Linked DNA regions of Lytechinus pictus. The protein of the gene in region 3 binds, or shares a complex with, the protein of the main gene of each other region. Links are inferred from orthologs where the notes say so. Each region holds a gene or a part of one and is shown on either strand. Other genes may lie near its edges. The genes, in order: RNA polymerase I-specific transcription initiation factor RRN3-like, nucleolar transcription factor 1-A-like, DNA-directed RNA polymerase I subunit RPA12-like and DNA-directed RNA polymerase I subunit RPA49-like.

Evidence for each region.
Region 1: DNA-directed RNA polymerase I subunit RPA12-like (region 3) and RNA polymerase I-specific transcription initiation factor RRN3-like share a complex: the UniProt entries of both Homo sapiens proteins name them as parts of the pol I pre-initiation complex. The link is inferred for Lytechinus pictus from reciprocal best matches to the Homo sapiens genes POLR1H and RRN3.
Region 2: DNA-directed RNA polymerase I subunit RPA12-like (region 3) and nucleolar transcription factor 1-A-like share a complex: the UniProt entries of both Homo sapiens proteins name them as parts of the pol I pre-initiation complex. The link is inferred for Lytechinus pictus from reciprocal best matches to the Homo sapiens genes POLR1H and UBTF.
Region 4: DNA-directed RNA polymerase I subunit RPA12-like (region 3) and DNA-directed RNA polymerase I subunit RPA49-like share a complex: the UniProt entries of both Homo sapiens proteins name them as parts of the RNA polymerase I (Pol I) complex. The link is inferred for Lytechinus pictus from reciprocal best matches to the Homo sapiens genes POLR1H and POLR1E.

What each region holds. Positions count from the first base shown.
Region 1 is NC_087254.1:4,772,485-4,780,344, reverse strand, and holds the start of RNA polymerase I-specific transcription initiation factor RRN3-like, read right to left. Parts: upstream 3,002-7,860; 5' UTR 2,749-3,001; intron 1-2,748. UniProt on the Homo sapiens protein: Required for efficient transcription initiation by RNA polymerase I (Pol I). Required for the formation of the competent pre-initiation complex (PIC).
Region 2 is NC_087245.1:35,362,840-35,370,632, forward strand, and holds the start of nucleolar transcription factor 1-A-like, read right to left. Parts: upstream 3,015-7,793; 5' UTR 2,657-3,014; coding exon 2,530-2,656; intron 2,007-2,529; exon of another isoform or gene 1,797-2,006; intron 1-1,796. UniProt on the Homo sapiens protein: Recognizes the ribosomal RNA gene promoter and activates transcription mediated by RNA polymerase I (Pol I) through cooperative interactions with the transcription factor SL1/TIF-IB complex.
Region 3 is NC_087259.1:27,112,581-27,120,315, forward strand, and holds the start of DNA-directed RNA polymerase I subunit RPA12-like, read right to left. Parts: upstream 3,012-7,735; 5' UTR 2,959-3,011; coding exon 2,829-2,958; exon of another isoform or gene 2,749-2,828; intron 1-2,748. UniProt on the Homo sapiens protein: Core component of RNA polymerase I (Pol I), a DNA-dependent RNA polymerase which synthesizes ribosomal RNA precursors using the four ribonucleoside triphosphates as substrates. Can mediate Pol I proofreading of the nascent RNA transcript.
Region 4 is NC_087245.1:24,111,707-24,119,588, reverse strand, and holds the start of DNA-directed RNA polymerase I subunit RPA49-like, read right to left. Parts: upstream 3,007-7,882; 5' UTR 2,839-3,006; coding exon 2,787-2,838; intron 1-2,786. UniProt on the Homo sapiens protein: Component of RNA polymerase I (Pol I), a DNA-dependent RNA polymerase which synthesizes ribosomal RNA precursors using the four ribonucleoside triphosphates as substrates.

The DNA.
Region 1 (7,860 bases), on a different chromosome or scaffold from region 3:
TCGATTTTAAGGCGCGCGAGAGCGATCGCGCGCTACATGCGCGCCTTAATCCATTTTTGGTAGCGCGATTAATAGCGCGCCTCGCGATAGCTGACCTGCGCGAAAATGCCTAAAGTCGCCCTCGAAATCACCCAAAATCATGCTTTCGGGGGCGACATAAAATCTGAATGTCGCCCCCAAAATTATTGCCGAGTGATAACAACTCAACGGCCCACTAGTGCCATATGCTCGAGCTCCGCTTACCATTTAAAAACCATCCAAAATCCACACTCAAAATCACGAATAAGCCTTAAAAGTAGAGAGTAGCGCAGTTTCAAATTCCGAAGTTGCGTTATTTTTTCTGTACCACGTATTTCCATACACATGGTACCAGGTATGGAAAAAAAAATCAACGCAACGGTCGGGAAAGAGTTGCATGTATAGGGGTCCATTATGACTACCACCGTGTGTCATTTCGAATGCACATGTTTCCCCTACAGATATCACAATTCTGTGATAAAATAATTCTAATTACACAGGAAATAAATCCCAGAGTCTAGTAACCTAGCATTGGTGAGTTGTCATTCGGCTTTGCTTTTCAAAACGGCTTATTAACTTCCAAAATAAGTTATCTAATTTATCAATTATAACTAAAAAGTCATTTGTTTTCTTTTTCTAGGGGATGAGGTATTATATCAGACAATAAATCATCAAACAAAGCTCCATCTTTTTTACAAGGACGGCGGCAGGCTCACGCATTGGCGCTTTTACTAGCTAGCCAGTTGGAGCTCTGTCTCTCTGCCAGAGCTCTGGGGGACAATTCGCTCAGTAAAGGCCTCAATGATGGTGATTTTCTGTTTCAGACAGAGTTTACATTTCAGGAATATTATTCAAAACTGCCAATAAAGTTTGATGATTTCTTCATTGTCATGTATATTTAAGTTCTTAATGAATACATTCTCACCAAATTTAGACTCCCCCATAGAGAAATTAAATTTTCATGGAGATCTGCGTTTTCAAAGAACTTCAGGAAAAGTTAGGGTAAGTGGGCCTTTATTACATGTACATGGCTGACTAGGGTATTGTACTGGAATAAATGGAGTAGAAATTAGATATTGAATTCATTTATATCCAAGTCCAACTCACAGTCACACACACACACACACACCCACCCATCCACACACACCCACATCCAAGATTGTAAACATGATAAATAACTTTAAAAATCATACAATATTAAACAAAAAGTAATAATTCCTTAATAAATGAACAGGTATTCCTCAAAATACAAAAAAGTAGCATTTAAAAAGAGCCCCCGAAATTTGACAAAAAAATTAAAATGGAGCCCCCGAAAAAAAAAAAAAATTGTCAGTGACTTAACTTTTAGCCAAAGTCAAAACCTAACTAAAACAGGTTTTACAACACACAATCTAATTACAATACATTGTAAAACAATTATAAATACTTCCTTTGGTTGTTGATTGTAATTTTATAGTACATACATTTCCTCCATCCATTTTGTTAATTGGGCAAAAAGCTCCCCTTGTATGTTGAAGAAGAGCTTTTTGAAGTGCTCCTCTACCGCTCTCCTTAAAAGTTCTAGGAGAGCTTTTTATTGCTCCCCTTATAATTATAAAACCGAGTCCCTGATCTGACCTAGACCAAAAGCTTCGGTCTCTGTTATGTTGGTTGTTCAGCTGAACTCCGTTGGCTTCACTCACCAAATACGAGGAGAAATAAAAAATAAAAAAATGTTTAAAAACTCCTCAAAACCACTCCTAGTACCAATGAGGTCCAACATTACATGTATGGACCTCATAGGCGACATCAGTAGTATTTTTGGTTAGAAATCTCTGAGAACAGGATATTTATACATTATATCACAAGTACAAGCTATATTCCTTTCTCTTATTTAAATTATAATTTTATAGTGTAAATGCATCGTTAGCAACAACAAAAAATGAAAGAAATGAAGGGGAACTTACATTTTCACGGCTTTTTCCTGATTTTCTGGGCAGCTGCTCTTCTCTTCTGACTCGCGATCGAAGCTGATATGAAGATCACGTGATTCGCGTTCTCGTCAGCTGATCGGTTGGTTATTCTTTTCGTCAGACGTTAATAATATATATTTTATAATGCTAGCATTCATCGCTAATTTAGGTGAAAGAGATTGAAGTTAAACAGCGCCAGGTCGGAATCATAATTATTTTGGAAGAGTGTATTTATACACTCGATCTCATACCTGACGTAGACGGCGCTATTCAACAAATGCACAATCTTCAATATAAAAAATAAAACAGAAAGAACGCCTTGAACACAGGTCAAAATGCCTAACGATTTCTCCGCGGCATTAACAACTATCGTAAAGGGCGCTCCATTTATCAATAAAGATGGATGCTAAGCTGTCTATGGCGACAAAATTTGCCGCAAATATTTACGAAGAATTGTGAGAAATGGTCTGAAAATGCAACAAAAGAACCGGTGAGTACCGATTAAACATTATTAAAGTTGTAAATAGATTATAGATACCTTGTAGATTTAGTTTTTAAGGTGATATTAGTGCTTAGTTCTAAGCTAGGGAGGCCCAAACGCGCGTGAGTGGAGTCCCAGTTTATTAGCACGGGGTGTCGCCTAGAGGCTAGAGTGCTCAAAACAGACGGCTGCCAGCTGTCTACATCTGACCATGACAACACAAAAGTGCACAGATGGGACTGTACTGTCGATTGAATTGATCAATTTGATGCCAGGTTCCATCCATACGGTACTCACCTAAACTACATCAACTGCGTTATTGAGACTTTCCAATCGGCTTGAAATCCAAAGAATACTCTCATTCAATGCTGACTGAATCAATGTCGATGGTAAAGTCATAAAACAAGCCCTCATTTAGTTCACTTTCAACACGTGTTGTAACTTCGTCGCGGAATGTTGCGCATGAGTTAAAGACCTATCGAAGTCACGTCCATAGGCTAGGCATAGAGATGTATACTAATAACGCGTATACGTCGGCCGCGCCGGTGTCATAGAAGAATTGGGCCGGGCAGCCGTTCAGGGCCGGAGGAACTAATCGGTGGCTCTTTTATCCGCCGATTAGTTCCGAATATTTTTTTTTTAAACAAGTGCACACCGAGTTACCAATAATGCATATAGCATTTCCATTTATTTGAAGGCAGGATAAAAGAGCATTGTAGATTAAATACCTTGCTCACAGGCATAGGTGCCGCGGCCGGGGATCGAACCCCGGACTTTCCATGTATAGCCACGCGCCTTAGACCACTCGGCCACGGCACCTCCAACATTGTTGTGTGATGCGATCGTCATAGCCGATTTGTTCCGACCAGGCGATTTGTTCCTAGACGCCGCTCATTCAACGTTGACACTTTTCAACCAACTGGCTCCTCCAAATTAACCATATCGACAGAACATTACAGTTGCCGATTTGAGAATCTTATTTTGGGACATAGAGATGTATATATGTTTTGGAAATATATAATTTATGCATTATTTTAGCACACTTCCGATTGATTACAGCTGTGTGGGCCGGGCCACGAAGCCATATTCACACTGAGTGCTCCCTTTGCACGCCTGTTATATTTGGGGTGTGAACTTCGATTTTGTATAGATCTAGGTCTTCATTACTCAAGTAAGAAACCGGGGCAAGAAATAGGACGGGATGGCGACTGGTGTGCTGAGGGTGGGTGGGGGTAAACACTGCTGCGTGCTCACCAAAACCCCCAAAGTAAGTATAGAAAAAAATATATAAATAAAATAACTAAAAGCTTAATAGTCCATCAAGGCTGCACAAAACACAGGGAACTCTTAGTGACACCTCATTGAGACAAACCCGGGTAGTCCAAAAAGGAGGTGCCAAAAAGGAGGAGATAGATGAAAATAAAAGGGAGAGAAAAAAAGCGAGATTCGAAGAACAGATCGCAAAATTAATTGGGAGAAAGTAACAAAGAGAAAAGGGGGGAAAAGGAAAGAGGGGATTAAACCGAAAGGGGAGAAAAGGAAAAAAGAAGGGGGACAAGGGGACAAGGGGGATTTAAAAAGGTTATAAAAGAGCGTGGCCGGGATACCATTTGAAGTGTGACCTGTAAGGAGGTGCCGAATTGATCATAATTATGTTCGACCTTTGTGCGGCAATTTGATGTTTGGCCCGGGGTTTGGCCTCGGGCGCATTCATGTTTGGGGGGGGGGGGGACAAATTGACATTAAATTACTTAGGGGGCATCAAATTGACCTGTGTAAATGAGGGGGGGGGGGGCTTTAATTGGTGCTGACATAAGAAAACACACACACACAGGTGTATTTTATTTATGACGACTCAAAACTGGTCGTAGCTTATACGATCATCAAAGCTTGGTGCAATAAGAGATACTAAGCTACAAGTTATGTATTTTCATTTTTTTTCATTGATCATTGAAGTATAATGGCACCGACGCGTCGACTTGGTGTACGAATTTTTCTATGCTGCGAGCGAGCAAAATGTTGACATATTATGATAAAAATATAATTTGTGATATATAGATTTTGACACAATTTTCAGAGAATAATATATGTCAAAAGGGGTATTGTGTGCAAACAGATAGCCCCCATGCTTAAGGTAGTGCGAGATGTCCTCGCATTAGATAAAAAAATCACGGTCCATGTTAATAATAAAAAAGGAAAATATTGTTTAAAAACTAGCTCCTACTCCAAAAAAGAGAAGTGGAACGGTACCGTGTGTCAACTGTCCAGCGCTGCAATATACGCATGTCGCATGCGCAAAAAAGTGTAGACTAAATTAGTATCGTACGAAGCTGAAATACCTCTTATCTAGACCAACATTTTTAATTTTAAACAGAATTATAGAAATAATCGGTTCTGTGATAATATTAAAATTACATTAAAAATTACACCAATATGTATATTGAAACATTTGATCAAAACATATATTTATAGAATATATTTATTACCTTTTTTGGCTTTAAACAGAATATAGAAATAATTATTTCTAAGATAATATTCAAATTACATTAAAAATTACACAAATATATATTTTGAAACATTTATCAAAGTAAATATCTACCTTAGAAAGATTTGATAAATGTGGAACCAAACGGCGGCTCTCCTATCGTTTCGGCCAAAATTTGAACCAGTCATTTGGATCAGGCGGGCCCGATCGACTAGCCGTTTTGTACTGGCGGTACTAATAAGCTAGCCGTTTTGGACCGCCGGTACCCGGGCCAATTCGCCTATGACACCTGTCGGCTGGCCTGGCGCTATATAGCGCGCGGGGCCGGGGGGGGGGGGGGGTGTCCCCTTATACAACGTGGCCACTGGCTACTGTCAGGCTTTCACCAATTCCCGGCACCAATTTCATATATATATATATATATAACGAGATGAGGCGAGGCCAACTCAACAGATGACGCAGGACACCATTATTTGCTTTAGCTTTCGTCTTTTAATTGAGACTTCGTCATCAGTTCTAGCGTAATTACAGAACGTATCCTATCTCGTTCTTTAGGAAAGAACGAGATAGGATACGGTCATACCATAGAGATTAGTATATATCTCTATGGGTCATACTTAACTATCACAATAGTCTGTAATTACAGACGCTTCTGACGAAGTCTCAATTAAAAGACGAAAGCTAAAGCAAAAAATGGTGTCCTGCGTCATCTGTTGAGTTGGCCTCGCCTTATCTCGGTATGTTTGATATTCACAACTCAACAGCGATTGGTAGGAGTAAACTTATCATCACATTATATATATATATATATATATATGTATATATATATATACATATATATATCTTCTTATATGTTCCCAATACTCTTCCAAATAACATGGTCATATGTAAAGAAAGTTTTATTTTTTGTCTATATACTTACAGAAAACTAATTTCCCTCATAATTGGTATTATTAGTACAATAATCAATTACAATTTTCACTTAATGCTGATTCCCTATTTACCCACACTCCGGGCCCACACTCTCTGTTACTTCATTGATGACATGTATTTTTTGTAGAATTTGAAATAAACTTGAACTTGAACTTTCTATTCTTCTCTCATTGATACCTCAAATGAGAGTGGATTCAGATTCACACGTGAGTTTCTAGTGCGCAACTCGTTTCTGATATGTCTCAATACATGCAATATTTATTGTTCGTTATCTAGCTGCCATGCGTGAACGATTTACTACGCTGTTGGAAATTAGAGATGAGAATACAATCTTACCATGGACATCAAAATTTATATAGTAAAACCTTTTTAATAATGTGAAGTCTATAGGGGCCTATCTCTGAAAACTTCTGGTCGGCTTTCGATCCTAATTCCATGCACCTTCCCCCCCCCCCCCGGGGGGGGGGGGGCACTTATATTGACGAGTGGATACCATGCGCGACCAAAAAAAAACACGTAAAAAGGATGTCTTTTTCAAGATAGGGCACGTTACTTACGTAACGTGATAAGGGTGTCAAAAACACAAAAATATTAATAAAAGGGTATCTATTTCGCGCGGAAATATATACGTGTTTAGGGTCAAATATGCGGGGATGATAAAACAAAATAAAAATGTTTGATAAAGGATGTCCTTTTTGCCCCAACACTACGTGTTTAGAGTCCGATTTGCGCGAGGTGTGGAAGGTGGGGCCGACTAAACCAAAATAATGGTGTGTATATAAAGGTAAAACCGACGACCGACGGACCAGTGACATAACAATAAAATATCGCTGTACTTGTTTAGGGGTTCATTTCAGGGAATACTTGCCAAGAGTATATCGTTTTGTTTCCACTTTCAGAATATGGAAAATACATCGCCGTACTTGTTTAGGGGCTCAATTCTGGGAATAATTGCCAATAGTATTTGTTTCTAATACTTGTTAAGGGTAAGGTTTCACACGCCAATACTTGTTAAGGGGTGCATTTTGAGAATATGGAAAATACGTGTATAGGGTGCTTTTCAAAACCCCGTGGTCGCGCATGGTATCCACTCGTCAATGGAAGTGGCCCCTCCCAAGCCACGTACCGCACAGGGTGTTGATGAACCTACAAATTTACACATTTTCTCATGATTATTTTACATTATACTCAAAATACAGAAAGTCCTTGAAATACATCAATTCTAGCAAGACTGTAATTAAGAAGCTAATTGAGTGAGCATTTTAGAATTTTCATGTTTTGTCCAACCTTACATAATGATGGCACCATCCTGGATGATATACCGTTCCTTTTATTTATTTTCAAAATTGTATGTGTCCCCATGCAATGTATTTTACCATCATAAAAATATATTTCCAAGCTATAATAAAATATATGCCAGACTTTATGATAAATTCGAACTGGAACTGGATGCCCGTTTGATTTGGTCGGTCATTGGATAAAAGTTTTTTTTTTTTTTTTTTGGGGGGGGGGCACACAGCTAGGCCCTGGGAACGATTTTTTTTCAGTGGGGGTGCTGAAATCTCTCCTCAAAAGTGGGGGGAGACACAATTTACCATATTTCTTTTATATACAGTCACACACACACCCTCACACACACATACATATATATATATATATTGTGATGAGGCCAACTAAAAAGATGACGCAGGATACCATTTTAGCTTTAGCTTTCGTCTTTAATAAGACTTCGTCAGACAACCGCGTAGCCAGGATTTCATTTTGGAGGGGGCGGTAAATGCACGCGAAGCGTGTCAACACTATAAAGCGCGCGAAGCGCGCTCCCTAGGGGGTGGGTGCAGGGAGGGGGAGTTTCCCCCTCCCTTGCGAAGCGCGAAGATTTCGGTGTTTCATAAATTAAAATGAAAATGAGCCGTCTCTCTTGTCTCTAGTACCTATTTTAACCCATAATTCAGTTGACTATATTGTGATTTTGAACCTTGTTTTCGAAA
Region 2 (7,793 bases), on a different chromosome or scaffold from region 3:
GGACGGGCATATAAAAAAAAGTTCAGGAAAAGTTATATTACTAGGTATGAAGCTTAGATTAGGCGGGAGATTAGAACATTATTTTTCAAACATTGTTATGATTTTAAAATGATAAAAAAATCCCCTAAAATAACAATACAGTCTACATCTACCTTTAGCTTAAAACATTTTATTTGTAGTAACATCTTTAAAAATCAATTTCAGAACAAAACTAGAAATTTGATGTGTCCAGAGGACACAGATGCCCCTGCTTAACATGATCAGAAATTCATTCAATATGATTGAACTTAATATTGTGCAAAAAAAAAATTGGAAAAAAATAATGAACAAATTTAGACCTTTGACCTGAAGACTCACCCTTTCCATAATAATCTCTCACAGAAGATATGACAGTCAGGTCATTTGATGTGACCTATCTTTTGGTGTCATCTACCCAGACACGTAACATTTTTAATATCTGGTGAATATTTCCAAAGTTATCATGAGGAAACCAACTCGCATATATAATGAGCTGTGACCTATTGAATTGAATTGGTATGGTTTATTGAAAGAAAAAAAATCAAACAGGCAGCTCACAGGCTGAAAATGTTCAATTTACAAGCAAAAAATCAACAGATATAGTATAATTATACAACGGTAGAGATAAAACATAAATTGAATTAACATTGATAAAATGTCAAATGCAATTGATAGAAATGACAATAAATTGATTCGAACATAGCCTGTATTTTGGTGTCATCTACCTACACACCCTAATTTTTTAAAAATCTGTTGAATACTTCATAAGGTGGAAACAAACTTGCATATTTAATGAGCTGTGACCTTTGACCTGCGGACTCAGAATTCAAACTTAGCCTGGCTGTATTTTGGTGTCATCTACCTACACACCAAATTTTTTAAAAATCCATTAAATACTTTTTGAGTTATTGCGCAGAAACCAAGTGGGGGACGGACGGACGGGGGCAATGCTTAATGCCCCTCCAGACTTCGTCTGCGGGGGCATAAAAAAGTAAAGGAAAAGTGATATTACTAGGTCTCTGCCAAACTTTGTTCAGGTGAGACAAAAAATGAAGCTTAGATTAGGCAGGAGATTAGAACATTATTTTTCAAACATCGTTATGATTTTACAATGAAAAAAAATCCCCCAAAATAACAATACAGTCTACATTTACCTTTAGCTTAAAAGCAACATCTTTAAAAATAAATTTCTAAAACAAAACCACAAAAGACAAAGTAAATTGGACATGTTGAATGAATTATTTTATTCTAGACTAAGCCTAGATCTTTATTTCAATTATTATGACATAATTTAACCCCCCCCCAAAAAAAAAACATCAAGTTTATATATCATGATGATGATCTGTATTTAAAAAAGGGGGAGGCCAAAATTCAAGTAGATCTAATGATCACTCCAGTGATGCATTTGAAGTTTGAATTGAAGCAAAGCAATAGAATTGAAGTTGATTGTAGTTTCTACCTCAGTTAGACCCTGCTCAAAGAATAAATAATGGTTTTGCCCACAAAACGGGGGGTTGACTGCCAGAACGGTACCACAACGCACCGCCCGACGACGGAGGAGGAGCCGATGAATGAATGGGCAGTACAGGGTCTACTGACCACAAAATATTTCTTACTGGTCACTTCCAACAAACAATGTCAAAACCTAACGAATAGAGCACTACAAAATCGCTCCAACAATACCTAAAATCTTAACTAGCGATAGTATTCGAGAGTCAAAGGCAAAGCTGAAAGTAAACATTCTGAAAATGAGAACATTCGCGAACAACGTCACGTACCGGTATGAGAAAATACCACACGACATTCACAAGGATATTCTGTTCACGTCATAGCCGCGCCATCGCACGAGAGTAAGCCCCGCCCGCCCGGGGGCTGCTACTCCCTGGCATTGAAAATAAGAACGGCAGCGACATGGCTGACAAACAAGCTCGTTCGATAATGCGGCGACCATGCCGCAGCACTGCGGGCTTTTCAGCTCAGCCCGTTACACAGGGATGCCCGGGAATTTGATCAAGTCACGGGTTTCACGACTCGCCAGCGTGGGGCGACGTCCGCGCCGCTACACACGCGGCGTGCGTCAATCAAACTTGCTGGCTCATTAACAAATTCATGGAAGAACATCAATATTTGCAAGTCTTAATCTCAACATGCTCAAAATATTAAGAAACAGCAACAATTACTGATGGATACATAACTACCATAGATATGATTAGAATATAAACAAATTGTAATTTCTGATAAAATTAACAGAAAACGGTCTATTTCCATACCGGAACTTCGACGCACAAAAGCTGATGAGCGGATTCCTATGCTAACATACCCGAGACTTACCCGGCCATCTTGATTGCTGAATCGGCTAATAAAATCGCATATAACATAAAAATGACGAAATATTTCTAAGAGGGAATGTAGCGAAAATGACCTCACAAATATGAACTACAATCTGGTAATAATGAAGTAAATATATTTCACAAACACACGCAAAAATACGGAATTAAAATGTCCACTTACTTTCAGCGTCCATGATGGCTGTCTCTAGAACTTCTTGATTCGCCCCAACGCTCTCGGGTCCCGACCCGCTTCCTCCGCGCCCGCTATCCAGCGCGGTGTCTATCGGCTGCATAGGCGCCAGGATCATCACGGTACGCACCGAGAACAAAAAATAGTACCCTTGAAAAAATTATATAATAACAAATCTAATGAGTGTTTATGACTTTGGGTAGTTATTGACTTAATTAATTCCACATCACTGATTTCACACACAAAGATCTTCGGCTGGCAGAGTTCAATATTTAATTTTGATCCCCTCGGCTAGCTTTACTCACGTGGACTATATTAATTAGGCCGCTATCTACAACCTCGTTCACGAATATTGTTTTGATTTATATTTAAAACACGGCATGCACAACGCAGCCCGTCAACTAATGTTTCAATCGGAGTGACCAAGGATGACACTCTTGTTTACGAAATCGATCAGTAAACACGCAACGACCAATAGAATCTCAAAGATTTACATAAATTATCATAAATCATTCAAGCGAATGTGACGTACACAAGATCGCGCATTTACATCGTTTGTCGTTGATAAGCAGCCGCACCACCGCCTAACCATCAGGCAGGCGTCAGGCTAGGCCAGGCGGGCAAACCATGAGACTCGTGATATCTGCCCGCCTCAACTGCCCGCGCCAAAAATCGAGGGAGTGCGATAAGAGGTCAACCAACGTCATGTCATACGAGCAGCAGGGTCGTCTGCTACGCACCCTAAATGGAAAACGTTGTCAGAATTTACCGTAGAGATCTAACTTACTATATGCTTAACGTTAGTTATTTCTAAATCCTACGTAGGACGGTCTGGTACATGTTTAACTTTTTTCAGTTCTGAAATAAAACATGCTAATTCCCTTACATAAAAAAAACCTCCATTCAGTTGAGCTGCGCTTGTGAGGAGCGCATCGCATCATGCAGCTAGCCTGCACTGTCGATGTCGAGCTGTCCCACTCCCAGCTGGTGCCTACTTCAGTACTGTACGTATACAGGCATGCAGCTGCAGTGACAGTGCAGAACCAACAATACACTAACAGTTCGAGCACTGTACGGTATCCCCTGACCCTTGGACAGGAGCGCGAGCGAGCAGGGAGCGCCCTTGGACTTGTTGTAGTGGCGAAAGGGAGGAGGGACCCATCTTAGCTTTCCTGGGAATGGGCACGGCTTGGCCTTGCCAGGCGGACCGCCTGGCCCTGGACGTCGGACTGACTGATGATCGCCGGCCTAAGCCGAGGCTAAGTAAGGGCTTAAGCAGAAGAAGGCAAGACATTTCACGATAACTGCCTGGATAATAAATAAGATAAGATATCTAAATTGTGAAGTGTGATCTAAAAACTTCTGGAGTTTTGCTGGACAAGGACATGAAGAACTCTGGAACTGGAAGTGAGATGAAGGAGGTTAACTTCTCTTTGTTGAAGCAGGATGAGGATTCTGATGATCTCCTTTATGACTCTGTCAATTCTCTTGAAATTGATCAACTGAATCTATCAGGTATGCTCTAACTTTTTTCAAGAATATGTTAACAATAACATTTTTTATGCTACATCTGAATGGCTTGTGCCATCACACTGGGTTATCGCGTCGGGTCGGGCAATCGCGAAACATGACCATGCGAGGAAACTGCCCCATTCGAGAAAAGGGCCCCCTAACTTTCCGAAAGGTTCGGTCCAATTTACCCGATGTTTTGTGAAAACTGAAAACTTTTTGAATGGTTGGGTATTTATATGTACTTGGGTTTAAACTGACCCGACATTTCAGGAATTTAAGGGGGCCTTTATTGAATGGTTGGGTATACTTGATTGCCTGACCCGATGCGATAACCCAATGTGATGGCCCCAGGGGACCGGGGGACCACTTCCATTGACAAGTGGATACCCCTTCCATTGACAAGTGGATACCCTGCGCGACCATGTCCATGGTGTCTCGAAAAGCACCCTATAGAAGTTTTAGAAGTTGTGATTAGCTTTGCAATTGATACCATTGGAAAGAGGAACTCTTCCAGCTCTCAGAAAACTTTGAATTTTGAAAATTGACCCAATGATTTGTTAGTTATGCCCAATTATGTTTCGGCAATTGGACATGATATACCAAAGGTCAAAGGTCAAAGGTCATTCTTTTATTTTACTTTGTTGTGAGAATGGCACCATGAAAAACATGACATGTTTTCAAACTTGTGTTATTCCCATGTTTTTTGTATTACAGGTATGAAACTTGGCAGGATGCTAGTAGATTTTGCTTTGATGTATTTTTTTGCATGCCCAGGTCAAAAAACCAGTTAAGGACCAGTTCATCCAACTGGTACTGGTACCAGTTGATTCCAGTTAGCGAACTGGATTCAATATGGAAATTGGAATACTGGAATCAACTGGAATCCAGTTGACAAATTGTAACTGGTACCAGTTGGAAATACCAGTTGGCAACTGGTCCTAACTGGTACCAGTTAGCAACTGGTACCAGTTGACAACTGGTCCTAACTGGTACCAGTTAGGACCAGTTGGAAACATGAGTTGTCAACTGGTGCCAGTTAAAACCAGTTGGAAACACCAATTGTAAACTGGTGCCAGTTAGGACCAGTTGGAAACATGAGTTGTCAACTGGTGCCAGTTAAAACCAGTTGGAAACACAAATTGTCAACTGGTGCCAGTTAGAAACATGAGGTGTCAACTGGTGCCAGTTAAAACCAGTTGGAAACACCAATTGTCAACTGGTGCCAGTTAGGACCAGTTGGAAACATGAGTTGTCAACTGGTGCCAGTTAAAACCAGTTGGAAACACCAGTTGTCAACTGGTGCCAGTTAGAACAAGTTGGAAGCACCAGTTAGGACCAGTTGGAAACATAAATTGTCAAGTGGTACCAGTTAGAAACACCCTGCAATGTATAGCATAAACAAAAATGAATCATGTGGATATGTACATTCCCGATCTTTTACTCTTCTCATATAATCACTCCTTCGTTTTCCTTGCGCACACACACATTAGAATATTGGTACCAACACCCCCCCCCCCCCTCTCAGGCGGTTATTTCAATTATAAATTATCTTCAATTATCTTTACATTGAATGTCCACTCCTGTTATAACAATGTGCATGGACAAGTGAAATAATTATTCTTGCACATAGGACTGATGAAATGAATCAAGGTAAATTTGTAGCATTGTATTGAAACCTTGTTAATTTCCACATGCACAATATAACAGGATTGGACTGTAAACTTGCTCTGGTAAATCAATCCCTCAGTCTCTTGAAATCTGTACCAAAAATCATCAGAGAATGACAAAAGTCACAAAAAACATATATATGGTATTTAAACTAGGAATTTAATGAAAGAAAATTATGTTACAAACTGTAACATGCTGTGTATAATTCTTGTATTATGTGTCAACAAAGATCATTAACTTACACAGTAAATATGTAGTCAATCCAATTTTTACATGCTAGCTTGGAGACAAAATTTGAATATAATGCATCTAAGCATTTACCTTCAATAAATAATATGTACTATTTTTAAAGGAATGATAAAGGAGTCTTTTTTTAATTATTATTTATTGAGATCTTGGGGCCCTCACTGGCTCTGAAGAGGAAACGTGAAACAGGTACCTTCCTTTCCTGTAGTGGCACTTGATCTTTGCTGGTAGATGCGATGTATCTGAAGATTAGAAAAAAAAACAATGGAATGAAAAATAATAAGTACAGTGAATACCGTAATACAAAATTTCAGTGGTGTAAAATTATATCTGCACATAAAGAAAATACATGGGATAGTGAAACTTCTCTAAGTTCCATATTTCAATGATTCAATTATAAATGATAGACAGCACATCATCATTTTTATTACAACATGTATAGTAAGTTCACATGGTCTTGGGAATACTTCTGAAATTGACATCGCAGAGATGAAATTGCCTCGACCTTATACCTATACATTTATTTTAATAATAAAGACTTAGACTATGTATGTTTGCATATATGTATCTAGGAGTCTATGTTGCACATTATCTGCTAACATCTGATGGGTATTTCATGATTGTCAGTGCCGACTATTTCAGTGAAATCATTGCTTTTGATTGGCTGAGAAGCACTGGCCTCTGACTGTTACTATGGTAACTGTCGGAAAAAGACAACTTGTTAATGCTGACAACTTTCAAAAAGCAGTTCCCAGAACAAGTTTAAAAAGCAAAATGATGAAAATTTCATCAAAATAGGATAACAAGAAGTTATTGAATTTTAAAGTTTATCAATATTTTGTGAAAACAGTTGTATGCACTTCGTCATGAATATTCATTAGGTGGGCTGATGTCACATCTCCACTTTCCTTTTTTTTATGTTACTAGATGAAATCATAAATGTTTGATTTTTTCATACATGTGTAAATGATGCGTCTCCATTGTAATGAAATAAGTTGCGTCAATAACTAATGCACCTTATCAGTTGTCAATCCAATTGTCAATAGTTCTTGGTTAAAAATATCTTAATAAACCTAATCTCATATAATAAAATACAAAAGGGCAATTGGGATATGACATCATCAGCCAACCTAATGAATATTCATAAACATGATAAAGACATGCCTAGAACTATTTCACCGGAATAATGCAAATCTTTAAAATTCAAAACCTTAATTAGTTATCAAATTTTGATCAAGTTTTCAGCATTTTGCTCTGTGAATTTTACTCTATTTATTGAGATATGTTTCCAGCCTGGACCATCCCTTTAATTCTACTTCTACGGTACCCCCACACATACTGGTAAGTCAGAGGTAAAAAACAACGAGAACCAATTTAATTTCAAAGATAAAAAAATACTTCGGCCTCCAGATTTAAGAAAAAATTCAGGAAATGTTATTTTAGTTCAGACTAATTGTGCACGTTTCATTTTGGAGGTCAATCTGAAATTATACTTCCAGTTCCAAATTCACGCCATTTGGTTATGCAAAAGCATGAATTAAAATTGATGGGCATGGGCCCATGTCACTGGCTAGCCTAGAGGACTCCATGAAGATAATTTTATCATTTTTACATTGTATTTTCATCACGGAGCCTAGACAAGCCTCCTATAAGGTTGCTCGTACAACTGTGTAAACAAAGATAGATTTCCCTCGGAAATCCACCTTTCCCATAATGATTTTTGGGCAAACATTAAATTTTTACATTTTGTAAGCCTTGATACTCTAAATGTGTACAAAGGCTTAAAAAAAAATTAATTGTAAAATGTACAAATTGGAAATTTTCTTACA
Region 3 (7,735 bases):
CACCTTTCTAAATAAGGCACTCTCCTAAAAATTATCGGACATCTTAAAAGAATTTACATTACACACATGAGCTCACTTAGCAGAGCAGAGCGGAGGTGTGCAGAGTTGAGCAAATACTGGACTGATATATCCGCTGTTTTTTCTGAGTTCTTTAAAAGAAAATGATTTTTTTTTTGTCCTCCTCCTACACAGACGGAGGGGATGCCGCAGAGCATATCCCTGAAAGAAATAGACTGATTTTTCGGTCTAAGCAAATACATCTGATGTTTATTCATTATAGACTAACATTAGGCCTAGTCCTACTTGGAAAATAAATAGGGCTTCAAGTTATTATGGCTATCACCTAATGGAATTGGCACGTCTTAGCCTAGGTCACTGAAAAACAAATTGTGTCAATAGATGGATCTAACATGATCCCACAACAAATTGGCTTTCCAAAGAATTGTATGGGTGTGTTTTTAGATTTATCGAAGGCATTGGACACTATGGATCATGATAATATTAAACAAGCTTGAGCATTATGGCATTCATGGGGTAGCCTTAAATTGGTTTGAAAATTACTTAAAGAATAGATTACAGTTAAGTAATGATCAATGGAGTTAAATCACAATCTAGGAAGGTGAATTATGGGGTACCCCGAGGTTGATTCTTGGGTCCCTTATTGTTCTTGATTTATATCAATGACATTACAAATTCATCATAGTTGTTTACATATTCACTTTTTGCTGATGACACTTGCTTACTCTCCTATCACAAAGGTATGCATAATCTTATATTGTCGACAGATATTGAAGTTCAAAATATATTTAAATGGTTTTGCTGTAAAAAGCTTTTATTAAACGCTAGTAAAACACAATATGTTGTATTTAGAACAAGGGGTAGAAGAATGCCTGATATATAGATTCATTATCAATAGGTCATCAGAATGATTAGATTAATCATAGTCAAGATGTGCGGTTTCTAGGAGTTGGAGATGATCATTTATCATGGAAAAATCAGGTCAGCAATGTTTGTACCAAGATTTCAGAGTGTTGCCGTGATATATGTTGCGTTTCTTTTTACCCAAACAAACTTTAGTAACTCCATCATTGTGCCTTACTTAATTTATTGTAATGATGCGTGGGGAAATAGGAATCATTTAAACAAACTATACTGATCCTTCAAAAGAAAGTTATCAGACTCATTACATATTTGAATTACAGAAGTCCCTGTATTCCTTTATTTCTGCAGCTCAACATTCTGCCTCTTTATGATTTAATATCCTTGAACTGTTTGATATCCATGTACAAATCACAATCGACTCAAAATTTGTCATTTTTATCAGATGCTTTTGTTGTTAACTCCAGGATTCATACGTATAATACACGTCAGAGAAATCTTATCCATCAACCGTTTGCAAGAACTGCTTTGAATTCATTTGTGATAGCTTGATTAAAGAATGGAACATATTACCACAAAGCATAAGATCCAGTCCAACACTGTAGGTGTAATTGCTAGATCTAGATTTTTAAAATATGGCACTTTTTGTTGACGTAGATGCCGCTCTTAAATGTGATGGTAGACCGCAGCTGGCAGCCGTCTGTTTCGAGGAGTTTTTTAACATTTTTATTTTATTTATTTCTCCTCGTGATTTCCTCGCAATCGTGCAGCCACCATTAGGGGGTTAATAATGCAAAATCCCCCCGATGAGGCTCATCGATTATTGTATTTCATAAAAGTACTGTATATAAAAAGAACTGGACCAAAATAAAGATTATCATTCGGTTTTGGCCTGAAATGCATCAAAACAGGAAAAAATAAACTTTAAAGGGGAAAAAACAGTGACTTACTACGGCTGTCGCGCAACTCCCACTTCCCTTGTTTATCCAAACTTAACACATAAACATTTGAGTGGGCGTTGTGGCGTGCCCCTGTAATCCAAGCTGTGGGGAAGTTACAAATTGATGCAGAGGTTCGGACCTGTGTCACGTATTTCAGATGGTGACGAAAGGTCGGTCCCAGACGTAAATAATCATATCTGATTGATACACGTCTGACAAAACTCAAATACACACACAGTCCCTGTACAAATTGAGTTAAAACTTCGGTCTCTCTACACCCGTATTTCACTCCGTTTCCATCCTCCGGTTATCCTCAAAATTGGTGATTTTGGGTCAGTATCTATTCCCTTACACGTATTATTCACGGCCGATTTAAAAACATCGCATGCGATCGGCCTTGACCTGCGGCCGATCGCGATCGCATGCGATGTTTTTAAATCGGCCGTGAATAATACGTGTAAGGGAATAGATACTGACCCAAAATCACCAATTTTGAGGATAACCGGAGGATGGAAACGGAGTGAAATACGGGTGTAGAGTAAGATATTAAGTTATTCATCTTTCTTGTTATAAAATTTTTTTTTTTTTTTCTTTAATTTTTACGATAAACATGATTACCATCCCCACCTTTGTGACTCAGTATATCCGAACTGGTTCACCGTCTCGAAGTTCGGGTAGGTGGATTGTACTAGTGTAGCGGTAGTGAAGTGGAGACTGCACGAACTTCGCTCGAGGTAGCTGGGCCCATGAATGTTGTTGTTCGTTGTGGGTAGTTTCCAAAACAAGAACAAGCTTCACCGCGCTGATCGCTTCGCTAGACTCTAGAGCTAGTGGGTCGCTATAACAAGCCTAACCCAGAGAGCTCCAGCCCGCTAAGCGGGCGCGGGCCGGAGCTCCCTGGGCGGAGTGCCCCGGCTGCCCGGCAGACGCAGGCAGCCAGCAGATACGTCTTCAGACTCGACTCAGACAGAGCAGCGGGTCAACGTACGTTTGCCGTCTTCAACTTACCTGTAGCATTAGTTTTAAAGTCACAAATTTTACAAAAGACGTCTAATGTGCCACGCTTTGGAAAAGGTAAAACTGTGCCACATTTCGGACAGATTTCCTTGGCAACAGAAAAAGTTGTTCCAGTATCCATCCTTCATCCAATTGATACCGTACCGCGTGGTAATGAAAATATACATCGGATACGAATTTTCACGTTTAATGTGGGCGTGGTCGTAAGGTTAAAGAGATTTGTACTAATATTTAATTAGATCTAGGAGAAACTTTCCCTACAACTCATGGAAACGGAAGGTGAAGAACTCAATCTCTCTTTCTGCTGAGCAAACGAACTACGTACACTAGATGGTGCATCTATCACAAATTCTGGCATGGGAAAACTATCAACCTTAAGAATCTCTACCCCATCTTGGGATCCTCCATCAACCAGGGGCGGATCCAGCTTTCGCCAATAGGGGGGGGGGGGGGGGGACCGAAAAATATTGGTGGGTAGTCCGAACTAAAGACTGAAGTTTTAAGTATATGTTAGTTTTTATTGTTATAAACAAGATATCTCATGTGGTATTAATATATAATGCGAGTGCGAAGCGCGAGCTCAAATTCTTTGATATCTTATGTCCTTAGACCTGAAGATTCTGAGCAGTTTTTGTAATCATGAACAAAGATATGTTCAATTTAACAATGCAATATTATCCAACTAAACAATGCGAGCGCGAAGCGCGAGCCGAAATTTTATTATAGTAACGTGAAAAGGGACTCGATAGTTTTTAGTGATTAATGAAGAGGATACAAGTATCACCAATTAAATAATGAGAGTGTGAAGCGCGAGCTAAAAAATTTTGATATTCCGACCTGAGAACTGGACTGTCTAAGCGCATTTTTATTAAAATAAAGAACAATTAAAGCTGTGTGTCTAAAACAATTAAATGCGTGCGCGAAGCACGAGCTTAATTTTTTGATATACTGACATGATACAGGAGTATTTTTACAAATTTTGGTAAGAATTTCCAAAGAGGATAAGTATCTCACAAATCAAACTATGCAAGCGCGCATAGCGAGCTAAAAATTTTGGTATTAATTAACAATTTGTGTAAATCAAACAAAATAATGAAAGCTTGATGTGCGAGCTAAAATATCGTGTGCAAATTGATTTCAGAACTGGATATATTAAGTGCCATTTAATCCTCTTGAATGGGATTCATTACACAGGCAATGCGAGCGCGAAGCGCCAGCGATTTTTTTATATAAAGTCTATTTTCCAATTCTTCCCCTCACCTTTTTCTTGTTTCCTTTCGGGGTCGGGCCGGCTGTTACGATGCTGTGAATTACACATCATGGGTATAATACCTCTTTCTTACTTTTCTTTCTGTTTTTCATAGTTTCTATCAAGTTGGAGTACATTTTTTCTGCAGGTTGTCAAAAAATAGGGGGGCCGGGGCCGGCTCGGCCCCCTCCTGGATCCGCGCCTGTCAACTATTATCAGACAATCATTAAAGGACAAGTCCACCCCAACAAAACGTTGATTTGGATAAAAAGAGAAAAATCCAACAAGCATAACTCTGAAAATTTCATCAAAATCGGATGTAAAATAAGAAAGTTATGACATTTTAAGGTTTCGCTTAATTTCACAAAACAGTTATAGGCCTATGCACATCCTGGCTGGTATGCAAATGAGGACACTATGATGTCATCCACTCACTTTTTCTTTTGTATTTCATTATATGAAATATGAAATATTCTAATTTTCTCCTCATTAACAAGTGATACAATGATTAATTCCACTCTAAACATATGGAATTAGCATTGTTTGATACGGTTCAGTCAAATTGGTCCTTATTGTTAAATCTATAAAAAATGAAATATTGTAGGCCTATAATTCAAACAATAAAAAACAAAATAAAAATAGTTAGTGATGGACATCATCAACTGACTCACCTAGTTGTGCATATCACCGTTTTGTGAAAAAAAGCGAAACTTTAAAATGTCATAACTTTCCCTTATTTCATATCTGATGTTGATGAATTTTTTAGCACTATTTGACTTTTCTCTATTTATTCAAGTCAGCATTTTCCTGGGGTGGACTTGACCTTTACAGGACAAGTCCACCCCAACAAAAATTTGATTTGAATAAAAAAAGAAAAATTAAACAAGCATAACACTGAAAATTTCATCAAAATTGGATGTAAAATCAGAAAGAAAGTTATGACATTTTAAAGTTTCGCTCATTTTAACAAAACAGTTATATGCACATCCTGCATGGTCGATATGCAAATTAGGAGACTGATGATGTCATCCACTCACTATTTCTTTTGTATTTTATTATATGAGATATGAAATATTCTTATTTTCTCCTGATTGTCAAGTGAAACAACAATTAATTCCTCCCTGAACCGGGCCCTGAACATGTGGAATTAGTATTGTTTAATATATGGTTCAGTCAAGTTGGTCCTAATTGTCACTCATGGACCTGGCCACGGAGGATTATCTATTATGGGGGTGCTGTGACAATACTCAGCACCCCCAATATAAAACAAAAGAAACAGTGAGGGACATCATCGACTGACTCATTTGCATGTTGTGCATATCACTATTTGTGAAAAATAGCGAAACTTTAAATTGTCATAACTTTCCTATTTTACATCCGATTTTGATAAAATTTTCCGCGTTGCTAATTTGATTTATGTCTATTTATTCAAATCATCATTTTTCTGGGGTGGACTTGACCTTTAACCATCAGAGCATGGAGCTATTACAGATAGCTCCATGATCAGAGCACAACTTGTGACATTGATCAACATATCTCACCCGAACTCGGCTCACCCGAACTCAAGAAAGAAACTGATTCGAAATGTCCTCTCTGCCATGATGAGGATACAGTGACTCAGGTTATTGCTGCTTGTCCGTCAACCCTCCATCTATACGCACTGATCTTCTGGCCAAAGTGAGCAAACTCTTACGAGATGCTCTTCAATCCTCTCCAAGAATTAGGCCTACTCTCAACACCCAGGATCCCTTTGAAATTACTTGCGCCATTCTCTTGCCGTATATATTTATGGCCCTTCCCTTCCTCATCCTGAAAATGACTCTTCATTATAATATATAAAATTCATGCCCATAGCCTGTACTCTTCATGCTAACTAATGAGCTAGATTTCATCCATCTATGCTATTGACCGCGATTTATCGCTAATCTCCGAAGAGCGGAGGATCAAAACAGATCGAGAGAGAGAGATATATGTCCCTATGTTCAGGGGCGGATCCAGGATTTTCCAAAGGGGGGGGGGGGCAAACAGTGGCGTAGCTAGGATTTTTTTCCCGGGGGGCACTTGGGGGTCCTTGCTTTTTCAGGGGGGGGGGGGCACCGACCATTTTTCCGGTGTGTGTGTGTGTATGTGTCACAAGGGCGGATCCGACTTTCGCCAATAGGGGACGGGGCCCGAAATTATCTTCACCTATATCAGTCACTTCTTAGTTTTATTCTTATAAAACAACATAAACATGAAATAATCTCATAAGCCTGATAAAAAGTGCGAGCGCGAAGCGCGAGCGATTTTTTTAAAACTTTCTTTTTTTTTAAATTTAATTTTCTGGGCAATGTTATGTGTGATCCTGAACAAGATTCGTATGTAACTAGATGGCTACTGCGAACGCCAAGCGCGAACAGAAATTTTTATCAACTGTTCTAGCATTATCGAAAATGGAACTGTTAAGGACTGCTTACAGTTACCCACGAAGACGGTATATATTTCGATAATGCGAGTGCGAAGCGCGAGCAATTTTTTTTTTTACATTCCGACCTAAAAAATGGCCATTCTAAGCACTTTTTGTATTAATAAATGGGATAGGTATGTAACTAAACAATTGATGCGAGCGCGAAGCGCGAGATCGAGGAAGAAAATTGAGATTTTAGACCTAAAAGCGGGACATTCTATTCATATTTTGTAAATCATAAATAGGATATAGTCAATTGGGTATCATTAATAATGCGATCGTGAAGCGTGAGCAGACAATAAAATTATTGATATTCTGATGTGATACTGGATAATTCAAGTACATGTACATTTTAAATAAAGAACATGCAGGCTATCGCGCGTGTTGTAGACCTAGAATCTGGGCATTCTGAATACATTTGTTTGATGGAACATTATGGAATACACGTAGACAATATGAACTTCGCAAATCGAACAATGTGACCACGCAGCGTGAGCTTAAAATGCTGATATATGTAGACCATAAAACGGACATTTTACTTAAATTTGTAAATGAAAAAAAAATAATGAAAGCTCGATGTCGAGCTAAAATATGTTTTGCATATTGACTTCAAAACTTGCTCCATATCAGCCTATTGAGCAAGATATGAATCTCATCGAACAGGCAATTCTGGCGCGAAGCGCCAGCAAAAATTTCGTATAGTAACATAAAAAAATTTGTTTTTTTAATTACATTATTTCATTCACTCGTCTTCCTCCTCTTATTTTCTTTTTTTCTTCTGTCTTTCTTCTTCTTTTCCTTTTTCTTTTTTTCTTTTCTTCTCCCTTTTTTTCTTTCTTTTTTTTTGCTCTGCCAATTTTTTCTGGGGGGGGGGCACCGGGGGGGCACACCAAATCTCAGGGGGGGGGGGCACGTGCCCCCCAGGCCCCCCCCCCGTAGGTACGCCACTGGGGGCAAAGCTTTTGGAGGAAAATTTTGACACACAAAAAAAAGGTTTTCAACCAAAAACTAATGATATTTCGACCCCGAAGTAAACATTTGACAAGCCCCCAAAAAAAATTTTAATAAATAAAAAAAGGTCTTCCATTTCAAACTGAGAGGGGCACACCTCTCTTTTGATGGCATTTTTACATTACAAATTTTGATTTTGGTTCTCAAAAGCACATGCCCCCCTGGATCCGCCAGTGTCTAATGATGTTTAAT
Region 4 (7,882 bases), on a different chromosome or scaffold from region 3:
TATCGATTTTGACTTGATAGGGGCCTATACCTGATGGAATTAGCTTCATTCAATATAAAACCAAGACCACACTCAAGAAACGATTCTACGGGCACAGATCCACCGTCAACACAGCAAAGCTGGACACTCCAGTTGGCCGCCATTTTAACCTCCCCAACCACTCCATCACTGACATGATGCTACAGGGCATCGAATCTTTAGGTACCCGTCCTGACTCAGTCCGTACTAGCAGGGAGAAGCTCTGGATGAGACGACTTCGCACCACCCAACCTCATGGCCTGAACATCCAAGAGGGGAACGACTGATTTTTCTTTCCTATCCACTTTCAATTTATATATACATATAATTTTTCCCCTCAGCTCTTTTGAATAGTTACATTATAGTTTCTTACTCTACTTTCCTCCCATATCTCATACAAGCTCAGCTCCAATTTTTCCTTCCTTATTCAGGCGATATAATAATTATTATATATATATATATATATTTGTTTTTTCTCCACTCACCTCTTTTAGATTTACCACATTTGCTTATTTACATGTATACTATGGTTTCTTCATAATACACCCCCTCTCTTCTATATTTGCTTTTACCTTTTTAGGCAATTTGCTTCCTCTTTTTCACATATACAGATTTTTTTTTCTTTCCTACTATATAGTCTTATGTTTTTTCCCGTCACACCTAGCGGATTACCATATCAGTTACACCATATGTGTATATATTTATATATTTTTTCATATACATTTCTTTTTTGGATATATTTATATACATATCACTTATAGATACATATTTACACTTACCTTCTTCTCTTAGTTTGTTTAATGCTTTATCATATATAATTATATGTCTTTTGCACATTATCAGTTGTTCCCCATTCTTTTTCTTCTTTTTTCCCCCCACTCTTATGCACCAGTTTATTAAGCCTTTCTTTGTAACCTGTTTGACCCACCTCTCACTAATTCTCTAGTTATTCATCCCTCTATCACTGTTTTGTTCCAGATCCTGTTTGATGTTGCCTGCCTCATTATCTTAATCCCTCTTGGCCTTACTTACACTAACTTCCCTTTGTGTCTGCCTACTCCTTTTTTTTCATCCCCTTCACTAACCTGATTGGTCTTCTCTACTCACTAATGCCCCTTTTGTCTCCTTGTTTCTAGTGTTGCTGTAGCTTGTTTGTGGTCTATATTATGGTTGTTCCACTTTATATGTTTGTCATTTTGCCTCCGACGAAGATTCTGCTAGGATCGAAAGCTTAGGCCCCTCTTTGACTTTATAATATAAAATCATAACGGATAGAACGCCTTGAGTACAGGCCAAACAGCCTAACGACATTGCCGTGTCACGTGACAACCAGTATTAAACGAGAATGTGCACAAGGCTATGGTGACAAAATTTGCCGCAAAAGTTGAGCAAGTTCTGGACAAAAAGGCTTCAATTCAATACCCCAAGAAAAGACCAGGCGCGAGTACTATAGGTCCTAGCACTCTAGGCGACACCCCAATACTTACCCGTGCTAATAAAGTGGGACTCCGCTCACGCGCGTTTGGGCCTCCCTAGCTTAGAACTAAGCAATATTATCTAGAAATTGTTACATTGTAGTAATTAAATATGTTCTATTAAATAAATTGATAATGTTTAATCGGTACTCACCGGTTCTTTTGTTGCATTTTCAGACCATTTCTCACAATTCTTCGTAAATATTTGCGGCAAATTTTGTCGCCATAGACAGCTATACGTCCATCTTTATTAATAAATGGAGCGCCCTTTACGATAGTTGTTAATGCCGCGAAGAAATCGTTAGGCATTTTGGCCTGTGTTCAAGGCGTTCTTTCTGTTTTATTTTTTATATTGAAGATTGGGCATTTGTTGAATAGCGCCGTCTACGTCAGGTATGAGATCGAGTGTATAAATACACTCTTCCAAAATAATTATGATTCCGACCTGGCGCTGTTTAACTTCAATCTCTTTCACCTAAATTAGCGATGAATGCTAGCATTATAAAATATATATTATTAACGTCTGACGAAAAGAATAACCAACCGATCAGCTGACGAGAACGCGAATCACGTGATCTTCATATCAGCTTCGATCGCGAGTCAGAAGAGAAGAGCAGTTGCCCAGAAAATCAGGAAAAAGCCGTGAAAATATAAGTTCCCCTTCATTTCTTTCAATTTTTTTTATTGCTAACAATGTATTCAATTAGTGAGATCGAAATGTAATGATTAGACAGTACGATAGCTTGTAGTTTTGATAAAATACAAAAATAATCATCTTCACAAAGATTTCTGACACAAAATACTACTGATGTCGCCTATGAGGTCCATACATGTAATGTTGGACCTCATTGGTAGTGGTACTACTAGGAGTGGGTCCTACTCACTCCTAGTCCTAGTACATTTTTTCAATTTAGTAATATCTAGAGTCTAATTTAAGAACAGATTTCGTCATGGAGCTCCATGGTAAGATCTAGTAATTTAAGTCCAACATTTAATTCGCGTGCACTCACTTTTTTAACACAGGAATTAATAGCCTTGGTGCTTAGAGTGCAGTGGACCTGGGCCCCACGCCACGGAACCGCGATGCAGTAGGCCCTACACTACAGCATAATCAATACATGGGTCTAATATAAAGCAAAGACTCCGCGACTTCTTCAGTCCAGATCAGCTTGATTCTTCACTTCAGAGTAATAGAAAGTCTGTAAATATTCTATTAACCCTAGATCTACGTGCTCTACATGACCGCATCTTATTGTTTGTATAATTTGTTTAATGAGATGAAAAATAACGAACCTAGAGTTGGTTTCTCCTGATCACTTGAAATAAATGAACATGTGGCCATCATTTTCGTCTTCGAATAAAATTAATTCAACCCAGGTACTTCGGCGATTGCGCAACACCAAAATCTTGAAGCAGTATGGTGTCTCCGATTTGGAAAATGAAATATTAAAATTTCTATACAGGGAGCCTCGATAGCTGAGATGACGAATTGAGTGATGGTTGGTATCATTTCCTAGGGGACCAATGTAGATAATGTAACAAAGAAAATAACCCTCCAACTACACCCCCACTTGATGCCAGATGGTGGGAATTTTTATGTTGTTGTTGCTACACACTCTCGGATGCTGGGCCCACGCCGGGGCCCAAGGATGGCCCCCAGGGCCCTGGGAACTTCATCTTATGTTGGTTTGAGTGGCGATAAGTCACATTAGACTATTGTCGCCATCGACTTATTTTTTATTTAGAAAATCTTACTTCTCATATAATGATATTTATTACCAATATGATGTATACATTATGAAATATTTTTCTTGTGCATCCTTCTAATATGAAAAAAAAAATCATTATAGTATTTACAAAAGTTTTTCATAACTCTTGTCAAAATGGCAATGATTTTTTTAACTAGGGGTGCTGATGCTTATTTGAAAAGAAAAAACAACAAGGTTTTCATTACAAAACGAGGTCATTTTGACCCAAAGAAATTTGAAAAGCAAAAAATAAAAAATAAAATAAAATGAAAAATAAACAAGTAGGTTTTACTAAAAAACAAAGGAAAATTTTGGTTACAATTTTTTATTATTTTTACACACCTTCCAGCATATATGGGGTGCTGCACCTATAGATAATAATAAAGTGGCACCCCAAGGAAAATATTGGGGGTGCTTCATCCCGCTTCCCAGGGCCATGGTGACCCCCGGCCGCCCTCTCCTCATGGGTTCGGCCCAAGAAATCGCTAGGTATATTGGGTACAAAGATATTTCCGAATGGGGATCTCTTTCAGTTCCCAATTGACTTTAAGTTTAGACAAGGGTGCAATATACTTTTCAAAATTATATGATGTAAAACTGAGCCTTATTTGGCCATATATCATGGGCCGCGCCAGGATATTTTGCTAGGAGATTTCGGGAAGGGATTCTAGGGTCGTCTAAAATGACATTATCTCAATAAAAAATAAGTAGGCGTCAAAGATATCTACACAAAAGCACTTATCATTCCGTTTTCTTCCTTATCCTTCCTGCGTCTCGTAATAGTTTAGATGGCGCATAATAAATGCTTTGTTCATTTTTCCTCCTTTTGTTTTTTCTTCAGTTTTCCCCCTTCCTCAATTAATCATTTGAAGAATCGAAGGGGCGATTACCCTCCGATTCCATTAGGAACCCGACTCCCCCCCTATATACCCCGGACCAAAAAAAATCTCACAAAATCGCATGGTTTAGGGGACTTGGCGAATTTAATCCATCCATCAAGCAATCAATAGTTACAAGCCATCGCCCCGTCTCTTTCCTCATCCTTGTCGCTTTGATCATCATAATGCTTCCACCTTCTTCCACTGTGAGAGTCAAGCCGAGCGTATAGTAGGCTGGGGGAGGGGTGCACCAGTGGCGTACCTAGGATTTTCCACAGGGGGGGGGGCAAAACCGTCCGCCCAAAAATTTGACAAGCAAAAAAAAAAAAAAAAAAAAAAAAGGTCTTCAAGCTCGTCAGGGGGGCAATAAAGGTCTTCAAGCTCGTCAGGGGGGGGGGGGGGCAAAAAAAGGTCTTTCAAGCTCGTCAGGGGGGCAGGGGTACGTCCTTTGCATGGGTTGTGGCTCGTCAGGGGGGCAGACTGCCCCCCCCCCGTAGGTACGCTAGTGGGGTGCACCCTCTCGCTGAGGCAGAAGAGTTCCGACACTGGCAAACAAAACGAAATTTGCACCCTTTCTTCGGCTTTAAACAGCTGATTTTCAAAACCTTATAGTTCCGCCTCCCCAAGATGTGCATCCCCCATACCACTAAAGTTCCACCTCCCATGATGCTCAAACCAGCATACGCCCTTAATTGTTTCTTTCCATTCGGGTATAATGACCATATTACATATACGGGGAAAAAAGCAAGACGATATCGATAACAGAGTCCATAAATGATGGCAAAGTATCAATGGGCATAATATAATGCGATTTTTAATGCAGATCAGTCTCTAAAATGTGTATTATATAGTTGAACCATATGGCACTGGGAAGCGTGCGTGATTTTTTTTAGTGGTGCTGCGTATGCTTTGCATCCACTGGGCAGCACCCCCTGGAAATATAATCGGTATGCTAAACTGTATTGACCTAAATCACCTTCATTTTTCTGCGTTTTGTTGTTGTTGTTGTTGCCATTTTGCTTGTTCAAACTTTGACTGACCAAAATCACCCCTTTTAAAGTTTTTTGAGCGAAAACCCCCCTTTTTCCAATTATTTTTTTTCCAAACGAGCACCCCTCTTGAAAAAAAACTCGTTCCCATGCTACTGAGTCGAACACCTCATAGGTCTATAGAAAATTGAAATCAACATCGAAAGATATAGACTAGATCAATGATCATGACCTCATGAGAGAAAATAAACACAGTCTCTAGTAATAAGCTAATATTGTTCTATAATATTTATATTTCCAATCAGGTGACACATTAATTTTGCTTATCTGCAAAATTATCACCTTGATATCAAAACACCGATAGGAACACAACCCCGTTCCTATATAAGATCGTAGGACATTTCCAAATTCTTCCATTGTCCAAACAATTGTTCACTTTGCTTAAAATCATTTAAGAAGAAAATACAATTTTGTTGTAGTTTATTACCTCCCGCCCCCAGAAGAAAATGTGGAAGAAAAAAGTAACGACATTTTATACCTTCAGTGACCTTGGAAGCACTTGAGCCGCCATCACAATTGGTTCATCGTGGTAAAGAGAACCTTCCGACATGTTCGATGCAACGATCATGGGAATGTTTGTTTAAATATAATCAATTTTGTAATCATGAAAGACTTTGTCTATTCATGGCTGTTGACGTAATTGGTCATGTTGGTAGAGATATAGGGCCTAAATATTATTGTAAAGACCACTGGCGTAAATCCCGGGGGGGGGGGGGTGGGGGGATATATCCCCCCCACTTTTCGAGGAGGGGGGATGGCCTGTACAAACATCCCCCCACTTTTCACGAAAGAAATGAAAAAAAAATCACAAGAGATAATTGTTTTATTGGTGAAAATTCTTCCTGAAATACCGCTTAACAAATAAAACAATATTATTGAATCATAAAGTGCAAATAAAGAGCCAGTTCACCATTTCCAAACGAAATACTTATGTCCTTATTATAACATTGAAGAGGAACTCCCGTTTCTTAAATTCGTCAATGTTGGGGTCTTTGGGAAGGGATTAAGATACAATGTCAATTCTTTTTTAATGTATTCTCTAATAAAACCATTAAACCATCATGGGTTAAAAAAGATAATAATATTGGAGGGGTTTTTGCCATATGGCGTAACTACGGGGGGGGGGGGCATGGGGGGCACGTGCCCCCCCCCCAATTGGCTGACCAAAAAAAATGGGGAAAATGAGAAAAGAGGGAGAAAGTAAGAGAAGCGTATAGTGAGAAAGAAGAAAATATTATTCATTATAATGTTATATTATAATTATGTTATGTTACATTACATAAGAAACATTTTTATCATAACTTCATGAAACATAATTTGCCCAGGGCCTACTTATTCATTGTTCCTGGTGCTTGCATTGTCTGTTAACGAGATATATAATCCTGTTGTACTGAAACATCCCGTTTTCAAGTCAATATAAACCAAATATATTTCCTAGCACTTGAGTTATCATTGTTTTATGTAGTGACATTTGCTTCTTTTTCATGACTCAAAAAGTGATTTCCCCATGTTAAGGTCTTCGTATATATGAAACATTTCCTGTCCGTGATTACGTTCGCATTAGTGGATTGGTGTGATATGTCTGCTCTTCATGAATTCTTAAAATCAGTCCTTAAAATGTCCCTTCTTCTGATCTGAATATCAAAAATTTTCAGCTCGCGCTTCGCGCTCGCATCATTTGGATATTGAAATACGTATGGTCCTAGTTAATTCCTACAAAGAAACCTTAGAATGCCCCACTTCAGGTCTGAATTATATAAATTTTCAGCTCGCGCTTCGCGCTCGCAATATTTGATTAGTGAAGATGCGTATGATAATCATGATTGCAATGACTACAAAAAGTGTTTCATGAGTTCAGATGTAATTTTTATAAACCAGCAAGCGCTTGGCACTCGCATTAGATGACTATGGTGAGATATGCATACTCTTAATGGATTCCTAAAATATATTCCTCAAAATCTCGCTGTTTGGGGTCAAAATATACGAAAAATTCAGCTCGCGCTTCGCGCTCGTATTGTTTAGCGAGACAGGTACCTATCATGATTACACAAATTTGATTATAATGTCTCTTTTTAGGTGTGAATATAAAGAAAATTCAGCTCTCGCTTCGCGCTCGCATTATTTGATCAGTGAGATACATATCCGTTTAATGACATTGTCCAGAAAATGTCTCTATTAGGTCAGTATAACTGGCAACTGAGTGCGCTCACTCAGCTCAGTGATTCAAACATTTTGCTGGTGCCCCCCTCCCCAATGCCGTGACCTACGGTACGCCACTGTGGACATATCAATGACAATTCCTTGCATATCTAAAAACATGATTGCAAAAAAAGCCAAAATATTTCAGTCATCCCCCCACCGATCAACACGGATTTACGCCAGTGGTAAAGACACACACAAATTACCTTAATATTGAAGAGAGTTCTTTTTGTTGTTGTTGCTACACACTCTCGGATGCTGGGCCCACGCCGGGACCCAAGGGTGCATGGCCCCCAGGGCCCTGGGAACTTCTTCTTCTTATGTTGGTTTGAGTGGCGATTAGTCATATTTGACTATTGTCGCCATTGACTCTATTTAGAAAATCTTACTTCTCATATAATGATATTTATTACCAATATGATGTATACATTATGAAATATTTTTCTTGTGCATCCTTCTAATATGAAAAAAAGATAATTATAGTATTTACAAAAGTTTGTCATAACTCTTGTCAA